Lonchura striata: one gene and its partners. The protein of the gene in region 3 purifies or fractionates together with the protein of the main gene of each other region. This does not show direct contact. Links are inferred from orthologs where the notes say so. Each region holds a gene or a part of one and is shown on either strand. Other genes may lie near its edges.

Region 1 (6,939 bases), on a different chromosome or scaffold from region 3:
GAGCTCACCGCACACCACAGTTCATCAACAGCAGAGCTAAAATTTTAACAGTTATTGCCCTTTTACAGCCTGCCTTTTTGGAGAAGGATCTCATTGCAAAACCTGTCAAGGGTTATTGAAGTTAGATATGAAGGGCTCAAAAGAAGACAAGCTTCCCCTGCTACTTGGAATGTATTTAGGGTTGAGGCACAGTGGGTTTTCTTCAGCAAGATTTTTTTTAAACACCACAACTGTTACCTCAAAGCTAACTTGAGGCCTGTCTCTTCCTTCAAGAGCAATCTGCATTACAACTTCTACTATCGAGTAACAACTTCCCTCCATTTCAAATCTAAAAATGGAAAAATTCTTGCAGCCTACATCTTGTTATATCCAAAATACTTCAGGACTTTTTCACACATTTCATATGGCTTTAAATTAATTCCCTAAATGGTATTCTCTGGCTTATTTGAGAATACTACTGGAGGTCTTCTGTACCAAGAAAAGGATAAACTTATTTGGACAGCACTATGCAGACGGAAGAACAGAAATTACCACCTCATGACAAAGGAAATTCAGCCCAGCTAGGACATTCTTGCAACTGGAGTAGCAAAACTACTTATTTATAACATTTCTAGTCTATAAGTAAATGGGGCTGGTTAACTTCCAGTACACCTGGCTACAACATACAAAAACACCCATCACTACATTAACATGTAGGGGTTTTACTAAGAGATTTAATTATTTAAGAAAAATCAGAATGAGCTTTGAAAAGAATGTGAAAAAATAGTAAAAGTTAAAAAACCCAGCTCCTAATAAAATCCAAGCAAACAAAGTCCTTCCTTATAACTCCTTATCCCTATTACCAGACAATACTTTTTCTAAATTATTCACAGTACAGTCATACTGTGTAATACAGGCAGCTATCTTACAAAATAACATGAAGTCCACAACCCCAAATCTTCCCCAATGCATCATAAATTAAAAGTACATCACATTACCTTCAAAAATTCTTATTTTGTCCTAGTCTGTACCTTACTACAATCTACACTCAAGCACAAACAAGCCACATAACACCTCAACCCCAGGCTCAGAACCTTTTTATTACTAACTTTTTGTTCTCATCACTGCATCACCTGGATAATTAATGAGTCATTTACACACATGCTTCATCTTCCTTCACCTAATCCCTGATTTGGGGCAAAAAGAAGAAATACATTACAGCTGCTCAGAAGCAAATTGGCTGGGGTGAGGGGGAAGAAGGCAGGCTGTCTGCAAGGGCTGAACCATAGCTACATTTCAGCCTCACTATGACACTGCCAGTTCTCACTTACTCTAGCTGGAGTATTTCTGTCTGCGTGCTATGTGTAAAAATAGCCTTTCTTTTTTTCTGCTGAAGCTTGCTTTAGAAAGTACATAGGAAAAATGGGCTTTGTAAATATATTTTTAGTTGGGTGGGAAGAGAAAACTGTGTTTTGCTTTAGATGTGTCCTGAGTAGAGTCATGCTTGGTTCACATTGTGTCTGAGCCCCACCAAATGATGTGATGGGGCTGCTCCCTTTTCTGGTAAGTCTGTCCCAGATGAGGCTCGGAGTTTATTGTGGTTCTGGTGCTGAGGGTGCTTGGCTAGTTCCTCTTCTTTCGCCTGAGCAAAAACCTCACCTCAGGTAAAGGAATATTTTTGAGCAGCCTTTAAAGAAATGAGTGCTCACTTCTTGCTCATGCTCTTTTTGTGTTTGTTTTCTGGCATTCAAAGGAGTTTCCAACCAGCAACATACAAGAGCCTTGGGTGTGAATGGTATTTCAGCCACAGAAGATGACTATTTAAACCAGAGGGTACTCCCAGAAGCCAGGCTCTGGCAAAACACTCAGACAACAAAACTGTCATGAACAGTTCAGCCTTTGGTTCTGCCTGTCAGACACCAGATGTGGGTCACAGCTTCACAGCATCTGCATTTGTGGCACCCACCCACTTTTCTTACACGGATGAGCATTTAGTCTAAGCTGAGTGAGGTTGAGTTTCCTGCCACCTCAGGGCATTGAACAGCCAGTATGGGGTACCCTCTGCACGTCCAAATGCTCACCATAAGGACTGATGTCCTCTCAAAGCACAGCTGTCCATTTCTTCTAATTCAGAGACAGAAAAGGTGCCTGTGCCTTCCCTTCAGCAACCCAGACTTAGCTCAGAGAAAGTGGCCAGCCCACTCCAGAATAACTGGCTGTTAATGGGATGCCCACAATCTTATACATGTGGAAGTGGGGCTTCTAAATTTTCATTTCAGGCCCTTGCCAGAGCCGAGACAGTCCTTGCTCCACATGCTTAAACACACTCTTAAGACCTGCTGGCAGGTTCTTTAGGGCTCTTTCATGGGGACTGAGATCTGGGTAAGCATGCTGTCCATTGGGCTAGAGCATAAAAGGAGGGGAAGGGAGGCAGGAGCAGGTCTCTTCCCTCTGCTATGTCTCTTGGAAAAGAAAGCTGAAAAGATCTGCTCAGTTCTTCAAAAGGGCAGGTCTAGGTGCCTGTTTGTATTGTGATAAAGGGATATGATTCATGCTAACTAAATTGTAACTATATCAATAATTGTTATAAAGTAATAGAGGAAAAGCAGATGGGCCCCTTCATGGATGTTAGGTGTGAAAAACAGGATACAGGATGTAGTATTGAGATAAGCAAGATCCCAAAACAGAATTGGCCTTGGGATGAACAAAGTTGGGATGATTCCCAAAGCAGAATCAGCCTTGGGATGAGCAAAGTTGGGATGATCCCAGATATGGAATCTAAGTTGTGGTTTTATCTATGAAATAATACGACTGATTTGGAATATAATGCTTACTTATATAGCACAAAGCTTAGTGCATGCGTGCAACCTGTAAGGTTATTCAGAGGACAGTGAGGAAGACAGCAAGCCTTCCTCTGAAAAGACCACCAAAAAGCCAGGAGACCCCCTAACAACAAGAGGAGCACCATGCAGTGTAGTGACATAGATTTCAAGAATCAAAAATAGGAGGAGATTTACAGAAAAATATTGATGAATATGTATTGGCATACAGTACATAAGTTTAGTTTGGATTCCTTTGTTTCATACGTGAGACAGGGTGAGAAGCCCTCCCTGTACCCCAGTTGGTTTTGCTTATGCTTTATATGAACCTTAATCATACTTAATTAGTCACTCCCAATTTTTTTTTTGTATATGCTTGATTATATTGAGCATACTTGATTGTATTAATTTCTAAAAAATTTGAGTTCAATTAAAATTGCTGCTAAATTCAATTTTGTTGTTTATTAAATTAGACATATAGAACTTCATTTATAACAGTATGGAATAGGGTGGGATCCCAAACGGATTTGGGTCACCACATGCAACACTCTTTTCAGTGTTTTCTGAGTGACACTTTAACATAGACTCAAAACTGAAATAAAAGTAACTATCAAGAGACAAATTTCTGGTAATACCAGTTGGCTATGATCCAATCCTAATAATACTACAAGTATTAAAGCTGATTGTGCCTAATAAGAATAGATAATACAGGCTTGATTGCTTATTTTATTTTATTAGCAGATTAGGGAAAGAAAAAACGAAGATTAACAAGTGGGGAAATAAAAGAGGGTATGAAATACAAACAGCTAAAAAAGGGTCAGTGGAAACAAAAGTTACAGGGAATCGCAGAGAGAGACTGGAAGGGACCACAGGGAGTCGCCTGCCCAACGTCCCTGCTCAAGCGTGGTTACTCTGTGTCAGGCTGGACGGGGCTTGCAGCAACCTGGTTTACGGGAAGGCGTGAATCCCCGCGGCAGGGCGATTTACGATCTTCACACGCCGTTCAACCCAAACTACTCCGTCACCCTTCCCACCGCCGGGCCCATCCTTATTAGGCGGCGCGGGCAGCGGCGGCGCCGGGCCCGCCCCGCCGGCAGCGCCGCCTCCTCCGGCCGCGCCGCGCACGCCGGGACCGGCCCTGCCCGGCCCTGCCCGGCGCCCCTGCCCCGGCCCTGCCCGGCCCGGCCCGGCGCCGCTGCCCCGGCCCTGCCCGGCCCGGCCCTGCCCGGCCCGGCTCGGCCTGGCCCCGCCGGCACCATGCAGGTGAGCAGCCGCCGTGCCCCGCGGCCCGCGCCCGGCCGTGTGCGGGCCGAGCCCCGCCGGCGGCCCAGAGCCGAGCCCCGCCGGCGGCCGAGGGCCGAGCCCCGCCGGCGGCCGAGGGCCGAGCCCCGCCGGCGGCCGAGGGCCGAGCCCCGCCGGCGGCCCAGAGCCGAGCCCCTCCGGCGGCCCAGAGCCGAGCCCCGCCGGCGGCCCAGAGCCGAGCCCCTCCGGCGGCCCAGAGCCGAGCCCCGCCGGCGGCCGAGAGCCGAGCCCCGCCGGCGGCCCAGAGCCGAGCCCCGCCGGCGGCCCAGAGCCGAGCCCCGCCGGCGGCCCAGAGCCGAGCCCCGCCGGCGGCCCAGAGCCGAGCCCCGCCGGCGGCCCAGAGCCGAGCCCCGCCGGCGGCCCAGAGCCGAGCCCCCCGGCGGCCGCGGGCCGAGCCCCGCTCCCGGCCGTGTGAGAGCCGAGCCCCCCGGCGGCCGAGAGCCGAGCCCCGCTCCCGGCCGTGTGAGAGCCGAGCCCCCCGGCGGCCGAGGGCCGAGCCCCGCCGGCGGCCCAGAGCCGAGCCCCGCTCCCGGCCGTGTGAGAGCCGAGCCCCCCGGCGGCCGAGAGCCGAGCCCCCCGGCGGCCCAGAGCCGAGCCCCGCTCCCGGCCGTGTGAGAGCCGAGCCCCCCGGCGGCCGCGGGCCGAGCCCCGCCGGCGGCCCAGAGCCGAGCCCCGCTCCCGGCCGTGTGAGAGCCGAGCCCCGCCGGCGGCCCAGAGCCGAGCCCCGCTCCCGGCCGTGTGAGAGCCGAGCCCCGCCGGCGGCCCAGAGCCGAGCCCCGCTCCCGGCCGTGTGAGAGCCGAGCCCCCCGGCGGCCCAGAGCCGAGCCCCGCTCCCGGCCGTGTGAGAGCCGAGCCCCCCGGCGGCCGAGGGCCGAGCCGCCCTCGGGGCAGAGCTGGGTGTTGTTCGGGGCTGTTCCCGGCGGTGTTGTTCGGGAGCTCCGTGGCTGGGTTTGTGGCAGTGTGTTGCTTTTTTTGCAGCTACGGTACTCATTGCACTACTGTAGTGAGCGGTCGGCGTTTCAGGCACTGCATCAGTGTGATAATAAATGATAGTAAATGCGGGGTCGAGGGAAAGGTGACCGCCGTCAGAGAAGGGGGTGAAGATATCTAGTGTTGTGTTTGCTGAGCTACGTTGTTCTTTTTCTTTATTTTCTTATGTTTCTTCTCCCCTTCTGCCCCCTACCCCTCCCTTCCTGTCCCCGATAGTCCGTAAGTACTGGGGCTTAGTCGAAGGTATAGGGTTATATGGCTGTGAACAGACCTGCTGTAAGGTGTACTGAAGCGGGCTATAGCAAAGCAGTATGTATGCTCAGTTTCTAAAGTTCCTAGGCCAAGATAGCAAGGAAGCACAATCAACCTGTGGGTGTTTATCACCGAGATTTCTTGTATTTAAAAAAATAAAATTGCCTGCTAAATAGGAAAAGCATATACTCAGCTACTCAGCTTTTCAACAATACATAGGGGTGTGTTGACCTTGTTTTGCAGGATTATTGCAACTATTTTACAGAAAAATCTCAGGAATAGTCTAGCTATAGACTTAGATCTGAATCCTTAGCAATGGTCTTGGCTGACAGAGATGGCTTGCTTTTCTCTAAGCACTTACATAGTCACTCTGACTTGAATATAGCAAGGAGACTTCCCATGTACTGAGAGCTAGGTCTGTAAGGTTTGTCCCTGTGTGTGTCTTGTCACTAGTGCTTCCTGATGCAGTGACCATTGGTTTGGTGGCCTGTCCTGCTGAGAGTCTATAAGGAAGCTCTCTGGCTAGCATGCTTCTGTGTCACCCAGCTAATACCCTCTCCTTTCATTGCACTTTGTGAGAGATGCAGCAGTGGTTACAATGCTTCAAACTTTGGTACCCAGCCAAGACCTCCTCTATGTGCTGTGAGTGTGATGGAATAAAACAAAGTCAGTCTTCAGGGTGCTGCAGGTCTGGGGCTGGAAAGAAGCCTCAAGGTCAGGAGGATTTGCACTGTGATTTTCTGGCACCATCCGTCCAGTTACCAGTTTAGCAGCTGTGTTAAATTCCGAACTTCTGTAAAGTTCACCTTGAAGAAATACCCATGTGTTGTCCTGTTCTAGGATCCAAATAAAGACACGGAGTGGAATGACATTCTGCGCAAGAAAGGTATCCTTCCTCCAAAGGAAAACCTGGAGGAACAGGAACGGGCAAAGGAAGAGGAGCAGTTTGCCATCCTTCAGAAATCTCTGGGTGAGTGACCAGCCAACTCAGGCAGCAGCAGAACAAGCCTTGGAATGGCTCCTGGGGGAAGCTTTCTCAAAGAAATGACCAGCATCAATATTTATAAGCCTGTAAAGCAATGTGTCATTTTCCGGGTCTGTGGGGATACCAAAGCTTCAGCTGTGCAGGATGATCAGCTGTTAATGGTATCAAACAAATGCATTCCTGAACACATGGATTCTTCCAGCACATTAAAGCTTTGTTCTTCTTATGAGCTCTGTATTTTTATGGAAGTAAATGTTTAGAAACTGAAGCACAGTGCAAAGGGAGTCTGCTAGGTGAATGTGCATGGCTGTGCTGCAGCTGCAAAGCTTGAAAGCTTGTGCAGGTAGTTGGGTGCTAGTCTAGGCAGCCTTCAGCTCAGAGGCCTTTTCCATCATATTCTTTTCATGTGTATGTCTAAAGCACATAGCACTTCCTAACAATCCAGTAGGAGTAATAATGACAGGTTGAGAAAGCTGGGGTAGCTAGCCTGGAGTGGAGAAGGCTCAGGGGCAAAGGGACTGAAAAAAGAGCTGGGGAGGGACTTTTTAGAATCCTAGAATAGAACCATAGAATATCCTGAGTTGGAAGGGACCCACAAGGATCACTGAAGTC
Region 2 (7,023 bases), on a different chromosome or scaffold from region 3:
TTTTATGAGCTCATTTAGAGATTCTCTTAAATGCAAAGCCTTGCCCCACCCTCCACAATGAGAAGCTCCATCCTTTCCATCTCATAACAAAAAGATGCAGCCAAATATGCTTCCAAAAACTGAAACACAGCCTGTCTTGCCCTCTCTATTATAGCAACTCCTTACTATCCTTCATATCCTAGTATAAATCAGTCAAAAATCTCCCAGACTTCTGAAGTGATTGACAAATAGCTTTCTAACTCCTTTAGGGATCAGAAGTATTCATCAGATTTTACAAAGGAAGCAAATTGTCCATGGTGATAAAAGATTTTATGGCAAGGTTAGGATCATAAGACAAATGACCTCTAATAATTTCTCCCTTGCTTATGTTTTTTTGCCACTCAACATGATTGTAATAATCCTACACAAAACAATCAACATCCTCTCCAGAAGCAAATCTCAAAGAGCAAAGGATTCCCTTTCACTGGTGTTAATGTAAATATTCCTGCACTGCATAATCACATTTAACCCCTCCTCAGACCTTAAGATAAGCAATTCAGCAATCCAGTAGCTCTGATCTTTGCCATGTGTAGGTGCAGGCCAGGCTGGAGAACAGGAATTGTACTATCACTAGCAGAGCTGCTGCAGCTCAGGGGCCTGCCCAGCGCCCAGAGCAGGAGCAGCTGGCAGTGACTGCGAGGGGGAGGCAGGCACTGCCCTGCTGGGAGCAGCAGGAATGCTTGAGAAACTCTGCAAGTTCAGAGCTGTGACTCTTCTCTCGGGACTTGATCACACACAGTCATCACGGAACCCCTCCACTCAGCCTCTCGTGCAGGCTGAACACGAGGGGATGGAACATGGAATTATTTCTAGGATGCCAATTACATCAGAGCCCTCTCTCTCTCCCTTCTGCACATGAGGCAAGAATGCTGCTGCACAAAGGAGTGCCTGAGGTCCAGCCCAGGTAAGACTGAGGTAATGCCTAAGGGAAAGTAACTGTCAGTCTGGATACAATTTGAACCATTCTACATCTCCCTATAAGTCTTTCCAGAGAGAAAACCAGGATCAGCGTGTTCAGCCTCAACTAGTTTTGTGATTTTGCCATGCCAGTAGCTAGGAATGCTAAATATTTATTTGTCGCTCCAACACTTCAATATAGGAAAATCCATACCTAATTTTAGCATATTATAATCCAAGCACTTATCAACATAAAGCATATTTGCAACAGTGCATGCGAGTAAAGAACCACCTTTAATCAGCATCCCTTAAGTTCTAAAAAAAACCTATCTCTAACTTGATACAAAAGAATCAGACGGAACTAAATGATGCAGAATTTGGTAACGGCTTCTTTTTCTTATATGGTTGGAGGAACAGTGAAGTAAGTCCACAGTAGTTTGAAAACCTCCTTAACTTTAGTCTAATTTATAACTACCTAAAATAACATTTCACGATTATTTTACAATCAGAAAGATGCCACTGCACCAATTAATCTCCAGCATTCAATCAATTTTTCTTTGCAGTGCAGGATCTTAAGAGAACAAATGACCTTCCTGCAGAAGAACTGCCCTGAACCCTCTCTCTCTGGGGCACTGCTTGGGAGGATGTGGAAATGTGGGAAGCATCTGGTCAGGGCCTGTCGGTGCGCTCCAGTGCCAGGAGCCAGCTGTGTACAGCACAACCTCTACAGAGGCATGTCCCCAAGACAACTTTCTGACTGTATTTTCCACAATCTCCATTAAACACCTTGATAAGGCTACACAGCTACATGATATAAACCAAGCTCTGTGGGCAAACCTTCAGTTTCACAAGAATTTCAGGATGCTCTATAACTTCATCCATCTTCTCATCTCTCTTTGATTTCTAAGTAATTCATTATACCGGCCAGCACCTTGAAGGTGTTCAGAAGTGACTGCACATGTGTTCTGAGCGATGAACTGGTCTCTGTTACTGGTGTGACATTCTTCACTCACACTTTGCAGTGAAACACTGAAGATACAATCTCATGCCTCATTACACCCTTGTTCTCAGGGAAAAGTACTGAGGAATCAATACTGAGAGGGGTTTATATAGTTATGAAAAAAGTTACCACACTCAAGTCCTCCACAGCAAGAAAGTACATGAGAACAGCACATTCCCAACACAGTCTCAGACACCCTGTACATCACAGGGAGTGGAAGGGAACTCTCCAGTCCAATCCCCCTTTCTAGGCAGAGTAACCTGGATCAAGTGACACAGGAATACATCCAGGTGGGTTTGGAATGTCACAGGAAAGGGAGACTCCAAAAGCTGCTTGACCAACCTGTTCCACTGCTCTGCCACCCTCCATGGAAAGAAGTTCATCACATTGAGGTGGAACTTCTTTATAGCTATATGCATATATATGTACTGGCCACAAACTTTCCTTTGTGCAAATTGAGCAAAAAGCCAGATATGCCCAACCAGATATGCCCAAGCCAGGGGAAATTGTTTTATTTCTATAGCAGCAGCAACCAGACCCATATCATACCTTTAGTTTCCAGCTCTTTACATCACAGAGAACTCATAGCACGCGGTGCTTATGTGATCGAAGCCAACACAATCGTTAATTCCGAAGATCAGAGGTCACGAGAAGCCTGCAGCAGCGTTATCCCAGAACCAGCAGCCCCCAGGGCTCTTCCCTGTGTCCCTCACCCCGGGTTAGCAGAGACCAGCCTGACGTGGTCCAGGCCTGCATTGGGGGTCCCTGACCGCTCTGGCCGTGAGGCGCCCCCGCTCCCCCAGCCTCGTTCTGCCCCAGCCCCTGTGCCCACCCTGCCCACCTTGTTGTTGTACTCCTCCACGAAACTGCCCAGCGCCAGGCGAAACCGCTTGTCGGGCCGGACGCTCCAGTTCATGGCGTACACGGTCCAGGGCGCCTCGTATTTATAGATCTCCTTCCGCTTCCCGTGCAGCGACATGGCTGGGCCGGGGGGGCCGCGGGCCGGGCCCAGGCAGCCTGCGGAGGGACCCGGCCGGAGGGAGCGGGGAGGCGGCGCGGGCCGGGGGGAGCCTCAGCGCGGCCCCGGGACAGGAGCGGACGGGGCACGGCGCGGCCCCCGGGGTGCCGGGGAGCGGGGAAGGCTCGGCTCGCCCTCGGGGCGGCGGGGAGGCGCGGCTCGGCCCCGGGGAACGGCTCGGCCCCGGTGCCGGCCCAGACCCGGCAGCGGCGGCGGCGCTGCTGAGGCCGTGCGGGACGCGGCCCCTCACACAACGGGAACGGAAGCCACGCGGGGAGCGCCGCCCACTGCGCGCGGGTTGGGCGTCTCGACTGTCACTCAGAGCGGCGGCTGCCTATTGGGCGATCTGCCTGTGCGCTCAGCCCGCCTCGGCTTTCTATTGGCCGTCTGGCCCTTCACTCCAGACGGACGGGCGCACTCCGGCTGGGGTAACCTACGGCTGCGCTTGGCCCCGCCCGGGGGGGGCGGGCACGCTCGTTGTCGACATCTTGTTGGCTGGCCGGGGTCGCATTAACTGGAGGCGGGACCTTGGGCCCTTAGCGGTGATCGATTGGCTGGAAGCGATGTCAGTCACGCCAGCCCGAGGCGGGTGGGGCCGCTTCAGGCTCTCGTGTGTCGCGGGTTCGAGCCCCGCCTCGGCCGAGTGGCGGACGGGCCCGCGCTTAATCTCTAATTAACAAGCAGTTCATTATGGTGCTTTTTTGGGAGCAGCCCTGGCGCGTACTGGCAGAAGGGGTGCAGCCGGCTGCCCAGGGAGCTGCTCGCTGTGCCCGGCACGCCGCTCGAGGCGCAGCGAGGCTGGCCGGACCCGCCGCGGGCTGTGCGGCCGGCCGGGGTCGGGGATGTGCGGTCCCGGCTCCAGCCCCCGCAGCTCCGTGTCCGCTCGGCGCGCTGCGGGGCCGCTCTGGGCAGCGCCGTGCTCCTGGCAGGGCTACCCGCTGCAAGCACCGCTGCTCTGGGCTCTGCCCGAGTTGTGGTTGAGAGATCATTTCTCGTATGCAGCTGCCTGGGCTCGCAGAAAAGGTTTTCCAAATGTCCTTTTGGGAAGGGATTGCTCGGCGAAGCCTCCGCAGGCTCCACCCTTGAGCTGACTGCGCATAGCCCCACACTCCTTGGATGAGGTCACCGGGCTTTGACCACAGCCTTTTTGGGGTGACGATGCCCGGGATGAACTCATGGATGCTCCCAACGAACACAGCTGTAATTCACCTTAGGTGCCAAAAACATCTTTATTAGCAAAGTGTACACTAAAACTCCAGAGAAAGAGATGCTCACAGTTTGACTACTCTCAGAGGGAGCTCGATACAATACTGGAGCTGGCGGTCTAGGTCTATCACAGCATCTACCCGAGTGGCGAGCGGCAGCGCTACGTGGGCTTCTCCTACGGGAATGCTGCGGAGTCTGCCGGGAGAAGGGGTGGGCAGGAGGAAGCACCTATTGAACCTTTATCAAAAGAGGGAGGCTGGGAGGGAGGACTGGACACGGGGTGTCTGGGGCTTCTCAGCTTCCTGGGATTGTGCTTTTGAATTTTGTGCTTTATGCCCAGGCCAGTGGCGACTTGGAGTTACCTGGTGAGCTGTGGGATGCGTGTTGGGGTTTGCAAGGTGTGATCAGCCTTGCTGGAGAAGTCAGTGCTCTGGGACTCGTGCTGAAGCAGGCTGAGGTGGCAGGGGATGTTGGCCCTTCACTTCTCAGTGGCAATCAAGTCGGACAAACTTCTGTCCTCTGTCCTTGTCCTGGGCTTGCCACCTGCAGTTTCCCCTGGACCACACCGTGGAGATCTCACAGTCCTATGGTGACCACCCTTCTGTAGTGCCTGCAGGCTCTGCTGGGCTGAGCCTTGTACCAACACAGTGTTCCCTGCTCCCAAGGATTCCAACACAGCCTCGCAGCCCAGAGCCCTGGATCGGCTCTCCTGTGGTTGCTGTGGCTCGCTTGGCTTGTGCCCTTCTCGAGAAGAAGCCTTGGCAAGGAGGAGGTGGTGGGAACCACGTGGCCTAACCAGCTCGATGGTGGCTGTAAGAGCTGTTCTAGGTTCACTCTAATGTGCAAATGAAATCTACTCTATTGGGAACCTCTGGAAAACATTGGCCTTGGAAGCCAGCCACTCTATACTTCCTGTCATGGTGGCAGAAGATAGCTACAAATTATACCCCTGAGCCAATGGCATTGTCCAATGTTTTACCCTTGCAGTCAAAACCAACATCAACTGACCGGGTCTGCAGCTGAGGTTCCTCTTGACTCGCCCTGCAGCCCCCACGTCTCTAACTTCCAGGAAGCACGGGGTCGGAGAGGTGTCTCTGAATGTCCTGGTGCTCGGAAGATGCCTCCAAGTGCTCAGGGAGGGAAGGGAAACGAGAGCCCCTCAAGAGTCCCTGGGCGCTTGGTGCCCTTTGGTGGGGAGGCTCTGGGTTCAGGAGAGGTGGCGAGGGGTGCTCCTGCTCAGAGTAGACCGTCATGGTTTTGTCGGATGACACCGACAGCTGCATCCCGCTTGACAAGGAGTCCCTGGATTTCAAGTGGAACTTTTCTACCTCCGTGTAGCTCGGGCTCTGGTGGGAAATGAGGAATTGTGTGGGTGATGGTAAAAGTAAAACGAAGTAGGCATACTCTCTCCTCATCAACCTTGGAGCCTCATCAGCTCCAAGCCCCAAAATGTTATTTTTCACTTGAGAAAGCCTCAGAGCAGAGAAACCCCCTTCCTTCCCCACTGATGGGCAGCCTGGCAGCGTTGGGGATAGCAGCGGTGCCCCAAAACCAGTGGTGCACTGGGCAGATCTGCTCCCAGGGCAAGACGCCGTGGCTTTGGCGGGACCCATCAGTGTTTGGCTGTGCCTTGCCTGGCGAGAACTCGGGGCTGAAGGAGCCTGGTGGGGGCTGAGCCAGCAGGGCTGACCTTACCTGCTCCTGGGTCGGCATCTCCTGGTCCTGCAGAGGCGCACAGGGGCCGAGCGGCTCCAGGCTCCGCGGGACGATGCCGTACATGGCCAGGCTGTGGGAGCTCGGCGAGATGGGGCTGTACGCGGGTGGCACTTGGGACAGCTGGCGCTGCAGGAGCTGCAGGATTATATGAATGTCTGACGACATCCTGGACTCCAGCCTGGGGACAGAGCAGCCTGGCGTCAGCGCAGGGAACCCTTTTGCATCCTGCAGCTGGGCAGGGGAGGCGCTGGGAGGAGGTGCCGATCCCGCTACCCCAGGGCAGTGATGCTTTCCCTGCTGCTTGTTGAGGTTTTTAGAGAGCTTCAAACCGGCACTACCAGAGAGAGATCAATCCTGCCATCTCTCTCCTGCCACACTCAATCATCCTCTGCCCAATTTTATGTGGAGCCAAACTGGGATCTGGAGCAGGGATTTGAAAAAAGCTAAAATTACCCTGGAGGGGGGAAAAGATTGCAATGGTTAGTTTTAATCTGGATCAATTCTCCAGGCCAGCTGCCTGTTCTGACAGATGGAGCAAGGCAGGTTAGTGCCAACCACTTTTAACTCAGGAACAGAAGAAAACAGTAAAGCAGAAGTCTATTCTTTCTGCCATGTGAGCAGCACTTGCAGGAGTGGGCACAGCCACACTTGCAGAACACAGTCCCACTTGCAGGACACAGTCACAGCATCACTGACAGAGTGGGCAGATCTGTCCCCAGTGCAGTAGGATGGTGCACTGAAGAGACATCTAAATTCAAGTGTGTGCTGAAATGAGCTTAACAAGGGCAGCAGAACCCACAGTGTCAGCCCCTCATGTGTGCTGCCTGGGGACATTAAACCTGCACCTCCAGTGTGGGCTCTTCCTTCTTCAAAAATCACAGAACAGTTGGGGTTGAAAGGGATCTTAAAGCTCATCCAGTTCCATCCCCAGCCATGGGCAGGGACACCTGCCATTAGAGTAGGTTGCTCCAAGCCCCTTCCAACCTGACATAGAAGACTTCAGGGATGGGGCAGCCACAGCTGCTCTGGGCACCCTGTGGCAGGTCTCAACCCCCTCACAGGGAAGGACTTTTTCCTAGAAATCAATCTAAGCCTACTCTCTGTCAGTTTGAAAAATCATGTATTTTTCTTATTTAGAGGCCAATGA
Region 3 (7,388 bases):
CACTTTGCCTTGCACTTTGATCAGCTCAAAATCAACATCTTTACGTTCCATGTCTGCTACTGTCAGTACAGCATTCACCGCAATCTCTGCCATTTGCCTGTGACAGCGGTTCACTCTAGGTTTGAAGAAAATACAGTCATGTTGTACTCCATTTCCACCATTTGGAAGAAAAAGGTGATTCCATCAATAGATGTTAAACAGCAAGAAGTACCACTACAGCAATCAACTTCTGCACACAATATTAAAAGAGGGGCTCCTGCTTGTTTGTTCACAGAAACAGAGGGTGCTGGCTATGTCAGAAAACCGAACACACAGCGTGGTTGGTGTGAGGAACCTTTGCCAATGGAGTCTCAATAGAGATTTGGAAAAAGTCAGGAGAACTAAATGACTAAAAAACATTCAAGAAACAGAAACCATGTGTAAAACAACTCTGCAAGGAAAGCCCTTCCAGTGTCTAAATTTATGAACTACACAGAGAACCCATAAAGGAAAATGAACTTTTGGAACCATCTTAAGTGAATTTTTTTTAGTGGAAAAAAAACCCCTAAGATGACATGTTGTTATTTTTAACAGATTCAGATTACTTTTGGAACCCGCTATGATGCAGAAACCTGGAACTAACAGGTTAGAATGAAAATGATGCTGCAGCTATTTAATTTCATGGAAATGACCCTTTGGAGATGAAGGAGTCACAATTTCTTATCCGGGGACAGGAGTCCATGGAGGAATTAGCTAAACCAAAACACAGAAGAGCCTTCAGCAGCACTCCAATAACACAAACACCAGGATTTCTCCTTTCCATGCAGAGGGTTTTCAATGGAAGGGTAAATATTCATTCAATATTCAGGTTTTATGACTTACACTTTAGAGCCCAGAGTTGTCTTTGCTGTCTGGATCAGAGGCTCAATGTTCTGTGGATCAACTGGGAAGCTGTCACTGATTTTGTCTAGATGCTCAATAGCAATGCGTGCTGCCTGCTCATAACCATCTGCTATTCTGATGGGGTGAATGCCTCGGTCTAGCAACTGCTCAGCCTGTTCCAGTAATGCCCCAGCCAGAACTATAAAAAAAAAAAAAAAAAAGTTTTATTCTTGATTGGAGCATAATTTTAAGTATATTAACAACCGATTAAAAACCATATTTTCTGTTTTTTCTGCAGTATTTTAAGAGTTCAAGGTTTCCTAAATAACAAAAAAACCACAAAAACCTCTACTTGCTCTGCTTAGCAAGAGAACCACATTATGTTAAGACCAAAATGAAGCACAGGCATCAAGGCAAGACAAGGAGACTACATAAGAAAAATATGCAAAACAATTCTTTGAAAGTATCAAAGGGGCTCTCAGCACTACCTTAAAATGGAACCAGACTTCAAAAAAATACAAAAGATTCTTCCCGATTAGAAGACTTCTCATACAAGAACTGACAGGAATACTGCAACAATAAATACTCCAAAGAAGTGCTACAGAAAAGCTACTGCTATTTCTCACAATTTTTTAAAATAGCTGAAGCAACTTGATTTTAAACTTGAAAAGGGAAGCTAAATTTAAAACGCTCTCTTACCAACGACTCCAGTAGTTCCATCCCCAATCTCATCATCTTGAGATTTAGCCAGCTCCACCATAAGTTTGGCTATCTGGTGATCCACATCCATCATATTCAGGATTGTAGCACCATCATTTGTCACAGTCACCTCACCATCCTTGTCCACCATCATTTTATCCAAGCCTAAAAAACATATGTTCAAAGGATTAAGGAAAATTTTGAAAATTCCCCCACAACAATTATTAAAAGAGAAATACTAAAAGTTTTTCATTGTTACCATTGGGCCCAAGGGACGTTCTCAGAGTACTTGCTACAGCCTTTGCTGCCATTATGTGAGACTGTAAAACACAGCATAACAAAGACAGAAGTTAAATCATTACCACGCATTCCAGGAAAACACAGCAAGTAGTGCAAATGTTGTAATTTAACTGACAACAACTATTGCTTGTATTGCTTGTGCTGGCTCTGCTAAAGCACGCAAAAGCAGAGCACCCAAATGACAGCCCTAACGCTCAAAGCAGGGAGCAACAGAGGCCGGCAACGCTAAAAAGAGAAGGCAGTGCAATTTTACCCATCATAGAATCATCACAGAATGGTTTTGCTTGGAAGGGACTTTGAAGACCATCCAGGTCCCACCGCCTGTCAGAGGCAGAACACCTTCCACTAGACCAGATTGCTCAGTGCCCCATACAACCTTCCCCTGAACACTTCCAGGAATGGGGCATCCACCACCTCTCTCTTCCAGTGTCCACTCCCTTCTTCCGTCGGGATTTAGACCACCCGCACTCAGCCCCAGCCTTTCTTCGACAGCCGAGCTTCAGGAGGCGGTCTAAGGGAGGGGGCGTGGGGGGCTGGGCAGGAGCACGGGAGGGCCGCGGTGCCCCACGGGGTGCCGGCCCCACGGCCCGCAGCTCGGGGGCGGACCCACGCCGTGCCGCGGGTCCCCAGCCCCGGGGCGATGCTTTCTCTCTTCCTCCACCCCTCCCCCGCTTACGGGCCCAGTCCAGGCTCCATCCGCCCTGCGCCTCGGGCGGGGCTGGCGCCGAGCGCGGCAGCGCCTCGCCCCAGGGGCTCCATCCTCCCGCTGCTCGCAGCAGCACGGCACGGCACGGTATGGTACGGTACGGCACGGCACGGCACGGTATGGTACGGTACGGCACGGCACGGCACGGTATGGTACGGTACACCACAGCATGGCACAGCATGGCACAGCATGGCGCGGCGCGGCGCGGCCTAACCAGCGCGGGCCCGCGGGCGGCCCCGGCAGCCGCCCCGCTCGCTCACCTTGAGCGCCTCCAAGCCCATGAGGCGCGTCTTGCGCTCTTGGTCCTTCAGGATGAGGAAGGGCCGCCCATACTCGTCAAACGCCAGAGTCCCCATGGCCGACATGGCTGCTCCGCCAGCTCCGACCGCCGCCGCCCGCGCGCGCGCACTTCCCAGGAGCCGCCGCGCCCGCCGCGCGCCGCCCCGCGCCTGCGCGAACGCTGCGCCTCGCCGAATGCCGCGGGCGGGAGCTTTGGGGCGCCGCCAGCCGAGCCTTCTGGAAGCCGCCGGCGCCGGGGGAGGAGCGCGGCTCGCGGGCGGGGAGGGAAGGGGGGAGGATGTGCCGAGTGGGGCGGAGTACGGGCGCCGGGTGACGTGAGGGCGGAGGAGGGAAGGCAGACGGACGGTGGAAAAGCGTGCGCGGCGCTTCTCTCCGGGGTGCCTTCGGAAAGGTTTCGGCCCCGCACCCCTTCGCAGTGAAGTGGTGCTGCCCTTCCCGGTAGCGGTGCGGGCCGGGCGTGAGGCTGGGGTGTTCGCTGTCGAGGCGGGGTGTGGCTGTGTCCTAGGGAAGCGTTGCCCCGCACGGGAGGAGCAGTGACTCCGGCGCTGTCCCGGCGGCAGGACGGTCCCTGCCTGCCCGCCCTGGAGCTGTCCGGGGCGATCCCTGCCTGCCCGCCCGCCTGTGGGGGCCCGGCGTTTAAATGGGAACCGCGTTCCTGCCCTCTCGTGCCTCAGCTTTTCAGACGCTGTAGCGTTTCCTTGGGGTTGGCTGAAGTGTAGGGTGGTTTTTTCCATCTCTTTACGCGGTAGCTCTTCGCTACAAGACGCTGATTTGTCTGAAATGAGCGAACACGCTGTCTGTCCGTCCGCAGGAGGGATGTCCCGGGCGCTGGCGAAGGAGGTCCCGCAGGAGGAGGGCGAGGGCGGCTCCCGCAGGAGCAGCTGGGGGCTGCTGGCCGCGGCCGGTCTGGGAGGGACCCTGGTGGCCCTCTATGCTGTAGCCACCCCCTTCGTGACCCCGGCCCTGAGGAAGGTGTGCCTGCCCTTCGTTCCTGCCACCGCCGCTCAGATCCAGAACGTGCTGAAGATGTTGGAAAACAGAAGTGGCTCCCTAGTTGACATTGGTAGCGGAGATGGCCGTATTGTAAGTTATGGATGTTGCCTCTTAAAAAAATGCCGAAGTGCTGGAGCTGCGTTTTCTCACACTTAAAAATGTCTTGTCTTTGGCAGCCACTGGTTGTCTCTGAGTCTCACGGAAAGTATCAAATCTGAGAAAGGTTTACATTCAGTTTTGATGAGTAATAAATAGTTTTGCTGCAGTCTTACCTGTAGCTTGACAAAGGTAGTGGACAAAATGTCATCGTGTCGACTGGAGGGAATCACAGTGCATTCATTTGACAAGAAGCTATCAGAGTCTTGGTGCTGATTGACAAAGAGCTGTGATTCCACAAAGGTGTGTAGCTGCAGCAAGTGAAGCTGTGAGATGTTTAATGTATAAAGGTGATAGAAGTGTAAAAAGAAATGGGCAATGAGCGATGGATTATAAAAATAAAAATCCTGATATCGTTAGAACTGTAGTCTTCAAACTTTTGTGGACTGCTGGCTTCCCCACTTCCAAATCCATGTGGTGAAACTAGAATAAACACCAAGAGAAATTGTGAGAATCATGAAAGAAAAAGTGATTCTGCGTTTCCAGGGTATTGCTTGAGCCCCAGTTTGTGAAATATGATGAGGATATAGTGGCAAATTGTGTTTTAGTTTTTCTTTTGTTGCTATGACATTTTGTGTCATTTGTAACTAACTTGTGTCATGTGTGTCATTTGCTGGACATTTTGTTTTTTTGTAACTATCTGCTTCAAGTCAGATTTGCCAGCAGGGTGGTAATTTTTGATGCAAACACATGAGTTCTTGAATGCTACCTTTGTCCATGTTTTATGTGAATGAGTCAACTGTTTGTCCACCTAAGAAAAAAATTGATTTGGAACCCCATGTCTGTGAAGATTGCTTGAATTGTGCCTGGGTATGAAAAAGACCAAAAAACTTAGGCATGAGATAACTGAAGTTTCTGATGCCTTTCTGGCTGCTGACTCTGATCAGAGGTATTTAATTTTAATAGGCACTGTGTCATTGATTCTGATATGTAGGTGCCCAAATGGAAACTGAAGACTATTTGGAAAGCCAGGTGAATGCTTGGTGCTTCCTTGATGCATCTTTCCTGACAAAGCCTGTTCAAATGCTTTTAATTATTTAGCACTTACTCAGGTGGATAAATATGAAGATATTTACCACACTTCCAAGTCTGGTAAAAATGTCAGATTCTTTTGGTGAATTTTCAAGTGCTCTGTGTGTGATGGAAGATTAATTATTTTGACAGTGTGAAATACATGGTCTAGGTAAAGCTGTTTGAGAAGTTCTGTTAAGAAATGTGTGCTTTCTGAATTCACCTTGCTTGTTTTGTAATTGATAGTTCATCAGGTGATTGCTGATTAGAAGTTTGCTCTAGTCTTTTAAATTATGTCTTAAACCTTTATTCTAGAAATCAGTGCATTTTTTGATTTTTTTTTCAGTGTAGATTAAGATTGCTTTCACACTCTTTCTATTAGTATGTCATTTTAGCTCTGATGGAGGAGCTGCTCAAGTGCCTATCCCTCACTGCTTTTCAAATAAGTGGTCTAATTTTGAGTGTTTTTGCTTGTGAGTTTCACTGTTCTCTCTGTGATCAATGTTGGTTCTCTCTAATTCCAAGACACTGTAATGAATGTGTTAAATTAAACTTTTATATGGATCATAGATGTATTGCAAGCTCACAGCTTTGCTCTGTGAATATTTGTTTTCATTTTGTTTGCCTAACTATATTTCAGTTGGACTAGTAATAATAGCAAAAAGTAGTTTTGAGTTTTTGTTCACTATACAGCTGATGTGTTGGGCATTAAACCCAGGGTGACTTAGGAAAGTGCTTTCCTTTGATTTATATTTTAAATGAAACTGTGAGCTTCTCTTTAGGTGAATTGATTTTTATGTTTCAAAGTGAAGATTTATTTTCTTCCTTGAAGGTGATAGCAGCTGCAAAAAAGGGATTCCAGGCTGTTGGTTATGAATTGAATCCCTGGCTAGTCTGGTACTCCAGATATCGTGCCTGGAGAGATGGAGTACATCAGAACACCAAATTTCATATTTCAGACTTATGGAAGGTGGGTGGTGAATTATATAAGAATGGATCTGGGATGATTGAGAGATTTATAAGTTTGGAAATACTTTCCTGAAAAAGCTGAAATGCTGTCTGACTTCAAGATGCTGTACTGGACTTTGAGCAAAGTACTTGTGCTGGGAATCTGGTTTCTTTGGGCTCAGTATGCTGTTCTGCTGCTTTTGTGCTTTATTCAAGTGCTTCCTTTATCAGTAGCAGTTCCTTGAGCAATCCTGCACCTGATGAATTATGTGGGAGGGGTTTTTTTTGGGCTGTGGAGGTTTGTGTTCAGAGAGAAACATAAGAAAACTTCACGGCACTGAGTGGAAGAACTTTATCATTACAATGCCTAGGAAATTTTTATAGCCAGCTGACATTTAAAAGAAGAAGGGGCAAACTTAAAGCATACATGATTTTATCATATACAAGAGTTGTGAAAATAACCCTTTTGTTATTAGTAAAGTCATGTAGGTATTTTCTAAATGAATGCTTTCTGTGCTTCTAGAATTGCTATTCCATATTCTTGGCCAGACAGTAGAAGTTTTTTGCTGTTTGGCAGTATAAAGTTTTCTTTATGTGGAAATTCTTGTGATGAAAAGTTGGTAAGGGATCTCCTTACATATTTTTGATTTAAATCCCTGTTGAAAGAAGTGCAGCTAGAGGAATTAGGAGAAAAGGATGATGAAAGTTTCTCTAAGTGCCATTTTCAGTAAGTTTTGTTCTCAATTTTTATTTTAGGTTTCTTTTTCCCATTATAGAAATGTTGTTGTTTTTGGAGTACCTCAAATGGTAAGCTTGCTATTTTTTTTTCTTTATTACTGTATTTTATTTATTATACTGTTAAATTATTGTTACAATGTTTATTTATTTTAATGCCAAGGCATTCAGTGTTAATACATTAATCTGCAAAATGAATCAAGCTACAGATAGTCAAAGGTAGTCAGTAATAATTGTAGAATATTAAGGGTTGGAAGGGACCTTAAACATCAAGTCCCAACCCCCCTGTGCATGGGATACCTCCCACTAGACCAGGTTGCTCAAGGCCTTATCCAGCCTGGCTTTGAGCGCTGCCAGGGTTGGGACATCCAGTTCCTGGGCAACCTGTTCCAGTATCTTACCACTCTCACAGTAAAGAATTTCTTCCTAATGTTTAACCTAAATTTCCCCTTTCAGTTTTTTTTTTTTCCATTCTCCATTGTCCTATCCTGATGAAGCAACCCTCTCCAGCTTCATCAGGAGATTTCTCCCTGTAGGCTCCCTTCTGACACTGGAAGGTTGCTATGAGGTCTGCATGCAACCTTCTCTTCTCTAGTTCCAGCTCCTCTGCCATGAGCAGGGACACTTGACTAGACCAGGTTCCTCAGAGCTCCATCCAACCTTATTTGAACAATTCCAT
Region 4 (7,671 bases), on a different chromosome or scaffold from region 3:
CGAGCACGGGCCCCGGCGCGGCCCCTTTCCCGGGGGGTCCTGGGAAGCCGCTTTATCCCCACTCTGCACAGCGCTGCCAGCGCCCGCGGCTCCGGTTTCAGAGTGGGAAGCGGCTCTGCGCGGATCCGGCACAAAGAGGCCCCTGTCCCCGCGGCGGAGCGGAGGCGCGGGCTCCGGAGGGAGGGAGGGAGGGAACGCCTCGGCAGCCCCCAGTGACGGGGCGGTGGCAGCGGGCCGGCCCCAGGAGGCCGGCGGCGGGGCACCCGGCGAAGCTTAGGGACGCGAAGGCAGTGAAACTCCGGCAAGAGCTTCCCCAGCCCCTCGCGACCAACCCGCCGGGACCACAGCCCCGCCGCCCTTCCCAGCACCGCACGCCGCCGCTCCCGCACCTACCGGGGGTCTCCGCTGCGCCTCCAGACGAACCGCGCCGAGCCGCCTCCCAGTCCCCTCCTGCCCACAGCCAGCGCCCAGCCGGGTACCGCCTCCCCCACCCGCCCCCTTTCCATGAGGAAACTTTTCCCTCGCAGTTGCCAGCGCGTCCCGAGACACGCTGCTCGCCGCGGGAAGGCGGCGCCGGGACCGGGACGGGCTCCGCCGCCAGGACCCCCAGCACCCCGCAGGGCACAGGTCCGAAAAGGCGGCGGGCCCGCGGAGCGAAGCCCACAGCAGCGAGCCCGCCGCTTACCTCGCAGGCGGCGCGGCGGGACGCTCAGCGGGCAGCGGCCACCTCGGGGAGGGGCCGGCTGAGCCCTCCCCCTACTTCAGCCGCGGGACTCGGGGGTCCCGCCCCGCCTCCAGCGGCTCCCGCGGGGCGGGCCCGCGCTCGGGCTGCTCCGATGGCAGCGACGGAGCCGCTCCAGCACAGCTCCCGCCTCCCGCCCCCGCCGCCCGGCCCTTGATCCAATTAACGGGAGCGGGCTCTGCCCAGGCAGGTGGGGTCGGCAGAGGTGCCGGGAGGGCAGCGCCGGCTCCCGTTGTCGTTCTCCCCTACCTCCACGTTGGGAAGGGCTGCAGCTGTGGGATGCGGAGGGGACTGAGGGAAATCGGCCTGGCTGGGATCCCCCTCGTGGCGGGGTCGGGAGGGAGACAGCTCTGGGAGGAGCTGCCCACTCGGCCCAGCCCCGAGTTCGGCTCCTGTCCGTGAGTTCGTTCATCTGTGTGCTGTACCGGCCAGCTGACGTGCAGGGCTTGGAGCCCCCCTGCTGTTGGAGCAGGAGGTTCCCCAAGGCTGATTTCCACCCAAGTGAAGTGCTGTGGTCTCTCGTGTGAGAGTGGCATGGGTCACTCTCCCTGGGCTTAGAGGGTGGCATCAGTTCACCTTGGCATCCGTCTTTCTCGTTCAGCCCGATCTTGCAAACTGCTTTCAGTCACTCTTCCATTTCTCTGAAAACGTCTATCTGAATAATTTGGACGTCATCTTTTAAATCCCTGAGTGCAATATCCCCTGGGCCAGGGCTTGCTGGCGGAGCGCTACCAGGCCTTGCTGGCCCGCCTTCTCTTGAAGTCACTGCTTCCAAGTGACTTGGGACATAATTCCAAGGACCAACTGTGGGTTTGTAGTGATGTTTATTCAATTGGTGGAAAAAGGAAAGACTGAGAGCCTTGCAGAAGAAAGAAAGGAAAGAGCATGCCATAAATCTTCCATTTCTCTGCAGCAGTACTTAGGTGTTTTGCCTTTCTTTCCAAGTGCCCTAGATTTCATAAGAACCAGAAAATAACTGTGCTGATGCCCTTCATATACAGTGAAATTTTGTGTTAGAAAGTGGACATTAGAAACCATTCCACTTAATTTCTTCTGAGACCAATCCTCTGTTCACCTTTACCAGCATAGGGTCTCTGGAAGGTAGACACCCATGACAGGTCATTGCCTATGGGTGTCACTTGTAAAAAGTGAAAAAATATGCTTGTCTTGTCCTTGAAGTTAATCACAGCTGAGAGTATAAGCAACTTTGTCTTTTACTAAAACAAAACTGAACCCTATTCTTTGGCACAGATACTCCCTAATTCAATTAAGTTCTGCATTTTTGATTTCTGTTATCAAAGTAATGTACATTAATGAAGGTCAGAAAAGGCAAGCTCCTGTCATCCATTAATAGTCTATATCCAGTGTTTGCCCGGTGTTATGTTTGCATGCTGATTTCTAGATTGCTATCTCATGTGCATCTAAGATAGCATGTCTAAGACAGATACTGCCCATGTGGGACTTGGCCACCACCAATACTGATTGCAAGGTGAGAGTATTAAATAGCATGGCTGTTGCGATCCTGTCCTCCAAGGCTGGAATGGCTTGGGGGAGATAGGGTGCTTTCGTAAATAAGCCCATAATGATAGTGATCTTTTTGTTCATTTTCGTGGTATGGGCAGCTTAACAATGGCCATGGAAGAGAAGGAGGTCAAATAGCATGATATTTACTCCTTCATCTCTTGGGTTTTATATTTTGTTTTACTTTTTCATGGAATATAGGCTTGTTTTCATATGCATGGCAAACTCTAGTTGCTCTAATGATATATACATCAGTATATATAATTTATATATTTGTATATGATTTATACATTTGTATATAACTGTATATTTAGCTAAGGTGGCAAAATTATTCATGCTTTGGACAAAGGTCCTGGAAACAAGGAGGCAGAACACCTAATGGTATTATTACTACCATGAAACTGATCTTAGTTTCAATATAGCTTCACCGGATCCAGTGATAAGACAACGTGATTCTGTTGGAGAGAACCATGTCCCATAACTGAGGCAGAACCTCAGCATAATTGTACATCAGAGAACTGGCAGAATAAAATAAACCTAATATCCTGCCCATGCAGAATTCTATTCCTCTTTGTTGCATACTGCAATTCTAAGACACTGTAAATACGTCAAAGAATATTTTTTCAAATTAGTCTTTCTCTTGCTCAGAGTACCATCCAGACACTGAGCTGTGGGACATCAGGCCAGTGGCATTTTTCTGTGCATGAACTGTGTACTGTCTGTTGTTCTTACCCTTAGTGGATAATTATTACAAAAATATCTCGTGATTCTCCAGAGAGAAATCAAACTTGGTGTTAGTCATTGACACAAACACTCTATTTAGCATGTGACCTCATCTTGAGTACTTTGTGCAGTTCTGAGACTCAACATTTGAGAGTGGTGTTGAAGTCCTCGATTGGTCCGGAGTCCAGAGTCTGGCTTGCCTAGGTTGGAGAAAAGCATGCTGAGGGAAGACCTCATGGCTCCCTACAGCTTCCTGAGAAGGGTAAGTGTAGTGGGAGATCTGATCTCTACTCCTGGGATCCAGTAATAGGATGCATAGGAGTGGTCTGAAGCTGTAAAAGGGTAGGCTTAGACTGGACAATAGGAAGCATTTCTTTACAGAGAGGGTAGTGAAACACCGGAACAATCTTCCTAGAGAGAGGTGGTGAATGCACCAAGCTGTCAATTTTTAAAGGCATTTGGACAATGCCCTTAATACCAGGCTTTGACTAGGTCAGCCCTGAACTGGTCAGGCAGTTGGACTAGATGTTCATTGTAGGTGCCTTCCACAGGCAATAGCCTTTTCTACTCTTTTCTAGTCTATTTCATTTCTAAAAAATGCTGTGATAGCTCCAAGATGGAAATGCGTAGGTTACACTGGTTTTTGCTAATGGGTACAGTTCTAAGACAAAAGCTGTATATTATAAAAGTGCCTGTTGAGACTCTAAGACTTGCTAATTGGTTTGGTGTATATGTCCAAAACCAGATTGTATTAGTGATTATCATTTTTGTGTATGGCATTCTGATACAGCAAGTAATAAAACTTTGTTACTGTTCAGGGAAAGAGCATAGAGACTGTTTGTTGTTTTTCTGGGGAATTTTTCTGTGCCTTTTCTAGTATGTGAGAAAATCCATAGGTAACTGTAGTTATAGCGCAAAAAATAGTAGCACGTGAAACCAAACCCTACAGAAGGCATGGCTATGTACAGCTATTTCAGAACCTGTGTTCATAGCCTCCTGTGTGGATGACTGTACCTTAATTACTCAGCATAGTTACTGTTAGGCCTGAAGCCAGGGACTTCACTGCTTCAGAGATGAGGGATAAGGTTCCCCACGGCCGGCAGACAGCAGCCTCCTTTGCAGGTGCGAAGTGCTGGTACTTCCCTTTCTGTTGGTAGAGCTCTTCCTTCCCCATTCTTGTCAGCTGCACCATGTAGGATCTAGTACTCTCTGAGCTGCTCTCGACAAGACTTTGTTATCAGCTTTTGAAGCACCTTTTGTTGTTGATGGTGTTGATGCTGTTGTTGTTGTGTTCCAACACCAGGTGAGTTTTCTTGTGGAAATGATGTTTTGATTTGTTTTGATTGCCGTGTTTGGGGCTTTAATAGGCCAATTTGGTGCTCTACAAACTAATGAGGGGCATATGATTTTACGTGCTGCACCAAATAAACAAGAGGCAGACAGACGGACCGCGCGTTTCAGGCCGGCTCGGCCCTCGCAGCCGCCTGTCGCTGCCGGGGGGCCGGAGGCGCTGCTCATGCGGATGGCCGGGAGGCCGGCAGGGGTAGGGGGGGGAGGCGGGCTAGGGCTAGACAAGCACGCCGAGCCCTCCCCGGCCTACCCCTGTCGATGGCGCTGCCCCTCAGCGGGGAAGGCTGGCGGGGGCCGCCATGGCCGGCGAAATCGGTGCCGCTCCGGGGGCCGGGCCGAAGCCGCTGCCCCCCGTTCCCGCCCCGGTTATGAAACCGCGGGGGAGGGGCCAGTGCCGGCCGCCGGCCGCGGCGGCGCCGGGAGAGCCGAGGCCGCGGGAGCGCAGGTGAGAGCGGGGGGGCTTTCCGCCCGGGCCGCGAGGGCCGCGGGCCGCGCCGGGGGCTGAGGGGAGGCCCCGCCGTGCCCGGAGGTGCCGGAAGCGGCAGCTGCCTGCGCAAGAGCCTGCGCGGTGCCCGCCGAGCTGGATTTAACAGATATCCGTGATGGCCATTCAGGAATTCTAAACGAGCTCAACGTGAGCGCAGGCTCAGCCCAGGGATGCTGTGCGGGAAGGTGCTGCGGCTGCGGAGGGCCTTTGGCGCACGGCCCGCTGGCTGCAGAGAAGGCCGTGGAAGGCCTGTGCTTTTCCTCAGGGGCCTGGTGGCGTTGTGGCCGGCATAACCCGGGACACGAGTCGCTGAATCTCACCGCCGTTAGAAGAGCAGTTCCGGTGTGGCTGCCAGGCTGTGCACGAGCTGAATCCAAATACCAGGTGGTGGTTGTGAGGAAAAGTGGCCACTATGCAGGAAGTACCTTCTGAGCCCATTTGTTGCAAGGCCAGTCAGCCCTGGCCATCATCATAAAAATTCTGACCTTTTGCTTAGCTGAATCTAAAGAGCTCAGTGTGAGCTACCAGAGAAACAGTTAGGGGATTATGTGGTTTCACAGATGTACTTTATGCAGATCTGTGGGTTTCAGGCTTAAAAGTCTAGTAGAGGCACATCTGTCAAAACATATTCTAGTGCTCTAGGATACATTCATTTTCATATGTGAACAAAGAAGATTTTATTGAACCTGTTCCTCTCTTCAGTAGAGAACAACAAAAAGCTAGTGTCATCCCAATGAAAGAGGATACACATCTAATCACTACGTTCGGACTAACTGGGATATGTTCCATTCCACTTTTCCTCTCTGTCCTCTGGTTAGAAGTGTATGACAGTCTTACCTTCCATGCTTTGCTTGCTTTCAGTGGTCAGGCAGAATGGCTCCAGTAAACCAGCCAAAGGACAAGAAGCGTGAGAGGGCATGTCAGCATTGGCCAGAAGAAGCAAAATCAGCTGGGAAGAGGAAACGGGACTATGGAGAACGAGGGAATGAGAAACAAGAAAAGAAGTTGTTTGTGAGAAAAGCATCTAGACCCTCAGGGAAAATCGGTAATATTTCCTCAGATTCTTTCTCCCTACCAGATTTACTGCAAATGACAGGCATTTACTAGTTGAAGAGAAAGAATGCCAAGAATCATGTTCAGACATGAGTGTTCAGATGATGTTAGATGTTGAAGTAATAGGCAGACTTGTGTTGGGGTAGTACATCCTCCAAGTTTTTGTCTAGTGAATGTGTGTGCATGCAGGAATGTTTGAGACTATGTACCCCTTGATAAAAGCCTGAAGCACTGAAGATGCTGTTACAGCTCATTTGAGGGTGGTCAAGTTTTATAGAATTCCAGTATTACCAGATCTCTGCTTTAGTGTCAGACAGACCAGTCTTGGTAATAAATTCTTACTCTCATGCAATTCTGAATACAACTGTTAGTTTAAGTGTTGGTGTCCTACAGCATCCAGTCTGAGCTGGTATTTGAACCCCATTCTTTCCCTGTTCTAACTTTTGCTACAGTAAGTATGAATACTTTCTACCTCTGTTCAGATTATAAAGGACAGAGTTTCCTCTAATTTCTTCTTCTCATGTGCATTTTTTTTCCTTTGGTGACTAACTTATGAGAAAGACCAAATCTTAAAGAGTTTTGATGTAATGTGGAGTTGTGATTAATTTCTAATATACTGGAAAGTTTAATGCTTTGCATATATTGAGGAAGTTGTCCAGACTTTACCTACAGCGATTTCATAGAATTATTTAGGTTCAAAAAGACCTTTAAGATCATAGAATCCAATGGTTTACAACTCTTTCAGTGAAGAAATTTTTCATGATAGCAAATCTGAACCTCTCCTGGTGTAACTGGAGACCCTTTTGTCCTTCCTCTCACTTGTTACTTGAGAGAAGCGACCAACTCCCTTCTTGCTGCAGTATCCTTTCAGGTGGTTGTAGAGAGCAATATGGTCTCCCCTCAGCCTCCTTTTCTCAGACATAACTTTTAATTCCATCAGTGGTTTAGGAAATCACTAGGGTTACTGCCTTATGTGGAGATACTATGTGTTTTCTGTACAATTTTGGCTTAAGGATCCAGAAATTACTGAAGTCTTTTTCAAAAGTCAGAGATACAGGGGTTCTATGATTTTGCACATTTCCATTGTGTGATCTGTAAGTCCAAACTTGGAGGAGTTAGCAGAGTGAACAGTAACTGTGGAGGCAAAATACTCTGTTTGAAAGGAGTTCCGTTTATAATTGTAGATAGTTAAAACATCTTCTGTAGTTAATTTAGCTACATGATTTTATTGTAACTTTGTGACCCGATTTTTGTATTTGGTAAGAATCTGCCATTCCTGTAAGATACTTCAGAAAAATGAGGCTAATCATATTTTCCCTTAACCCTTTCTTAAAAAGATGAAGACCTTTCTATTTGAGATTTCCCATTCTGTGTTCCAGTTTGTTTGTGTTTGGAATTTTTTTTTCTCCTGATCCATATAGGACAGTTTCCATTTCTTACAATTAAACCACCTTTTTAGAGGGTTTCTTTCAGCTGATTCTAAAAAGGCCTGAAGCTTTGTTTCTTAATAAACTATCCTTAATTGTAAAATAGAATCTGAAAAAAAATACCTCAATTTCTGTCACCTCTGAAGAAGGAACTGTGGATACCAATTCTTTAGTGAAAAAAAAAAAAAGAAATTAGAATAGAAATACTTTTGTACCTATTTCAACAAGTGTGACAAGTGTTCTCACTATGTGAACAAAGAAGTGTGCTTTTCTCCATCATTGCATTAAAGAAAGATTTAATTTAGGTTGTAATCATATAGGATGATCCACGTGTTTTCAGTCTTCTATGTTTGTTTTCTTTTTAATGT

The links. The genes of interacting proteins can lie anywhere in the genome.
Region 1: the proteins of CCT5 (region 3) and PDCL3 purify together in Homo sapiens (co-immunoprecipitation; 3 studies listed by BioGRID and IntAct, with this or other methods). This does not show direct contact. The link is inferred for Lonchura striata from reciprocal best matches to the Homo sapiens genes CCT5 and PDCL3.
Region 2: the proteins of CCT5 (region 3) and DCAF7 purify together in Homo sapiens (affinity purification with mass spectrometry; 4 studies listed by BioGRID and IntAct, counting the BioPlex papers as one, with this or other methods). This does not show direct contact. The link is inferred for Lonchura striata from reciprocal best matches to the Homo sapiens genes CCT5 and DCAF7.
Region 4: the proteins of CCT5 (region 3) and DDB2 purify together in Homo sapiens (co-immunoprecipitation; 3 studies listed by BioGRID and IntAct, with this or other methods). This does not show direct contact. The link is inferred for Lonchura striata from reciprocal best matches to the Homo sapiens genes CCT5 and DDB2.

Annotation. Positions count from the first base shown.
Region 1 is NC_134604.1:87,175,656-87,182,594, forward strand, and holds the start of PDCL3 (phosducin-like protein 3), read left to right. Parts: upstream 1-3,936; 5' UTR 3,937-3,986; intron 3,987-3,988; exon of another isoform or gene 3,989-4,040; 5' UTR 4,041-4,055; coding exon 4,056-4,061; intron 4,062-6,182; coding exon 6,183-6,312; intron 6,313-6,939. UniProt on the Homo sapiens protein: Acts as a chaperone for the angiogenic VEGF receptor KDR/VEGFR2, increasing its abundance by inhibiting its ubiquitination and degradation.
Region 2 is NC_134627.1:9,009,028-9,016,050, forward strand, and holds the start of DCAF7 (DDB1- and CUL4-associated factor 7), read right to left. Parts: upstream 3,004-7,023; 5' UTR 2,916-3,003; coding exon 2,778-2,915; intron 1-2,777. Other genes in the region: voltage-gated inwardly rectifying potassium channel KCNH6, read right to left, coding at 5,219-5,506, 5,856-6,054. UniProt on the Homo sapiens protein: Involved in craniofacial development. Acts upstream of the EDN1 pathway and is required for formation of the upper jaw equivalent, the palatoquadrate. The activity required for EDN1 pathway function differs between the first and second arches.
Region 3 is NC_134603.1:71,666,410-71,673,797, reverse strand, and holds the start of CCT5 (T-complex protein 1 subunit epsilon), read right to left. Parts: upstream 3,004-7,388; 5' UTR 2,932-3,003; coding exon 2,827-2,931; intron 1,881-2,826; coding exon 1,820-1,880; intron 1,726-1,819; coding exon 1,561-1,725; intron 1,061-1,560; coding exon 862-1,060; intron 116-861; coding exon 1-115. Other genes in the region: ATPSCKMT (ATP synthase subunit C lysine N-methyltransferase), read left to right, coding at 3,683-3,949, 5,859-5,996, 6,731-6,781. UniProt on the Homo sapiens protein: Component of the chaperonin-containing T-complex (TRiC), a molecular chaperone complex that assists the folding of actin, tubulin and other proteins upon ATP hydrolysis.
Region 4 is NC_134608.1:39,083,246-39,090,916, forward strand, and holds the start of DDB2 (DNA damage-binding protein 2), read left to right. Parts: upstream 1-4,668; 5' UTR 4,669-4,781; intron 4,782-5,684; 5' UTR 5,685-5,696; coding exon 5,697-5,868; intron 5,869-7,671.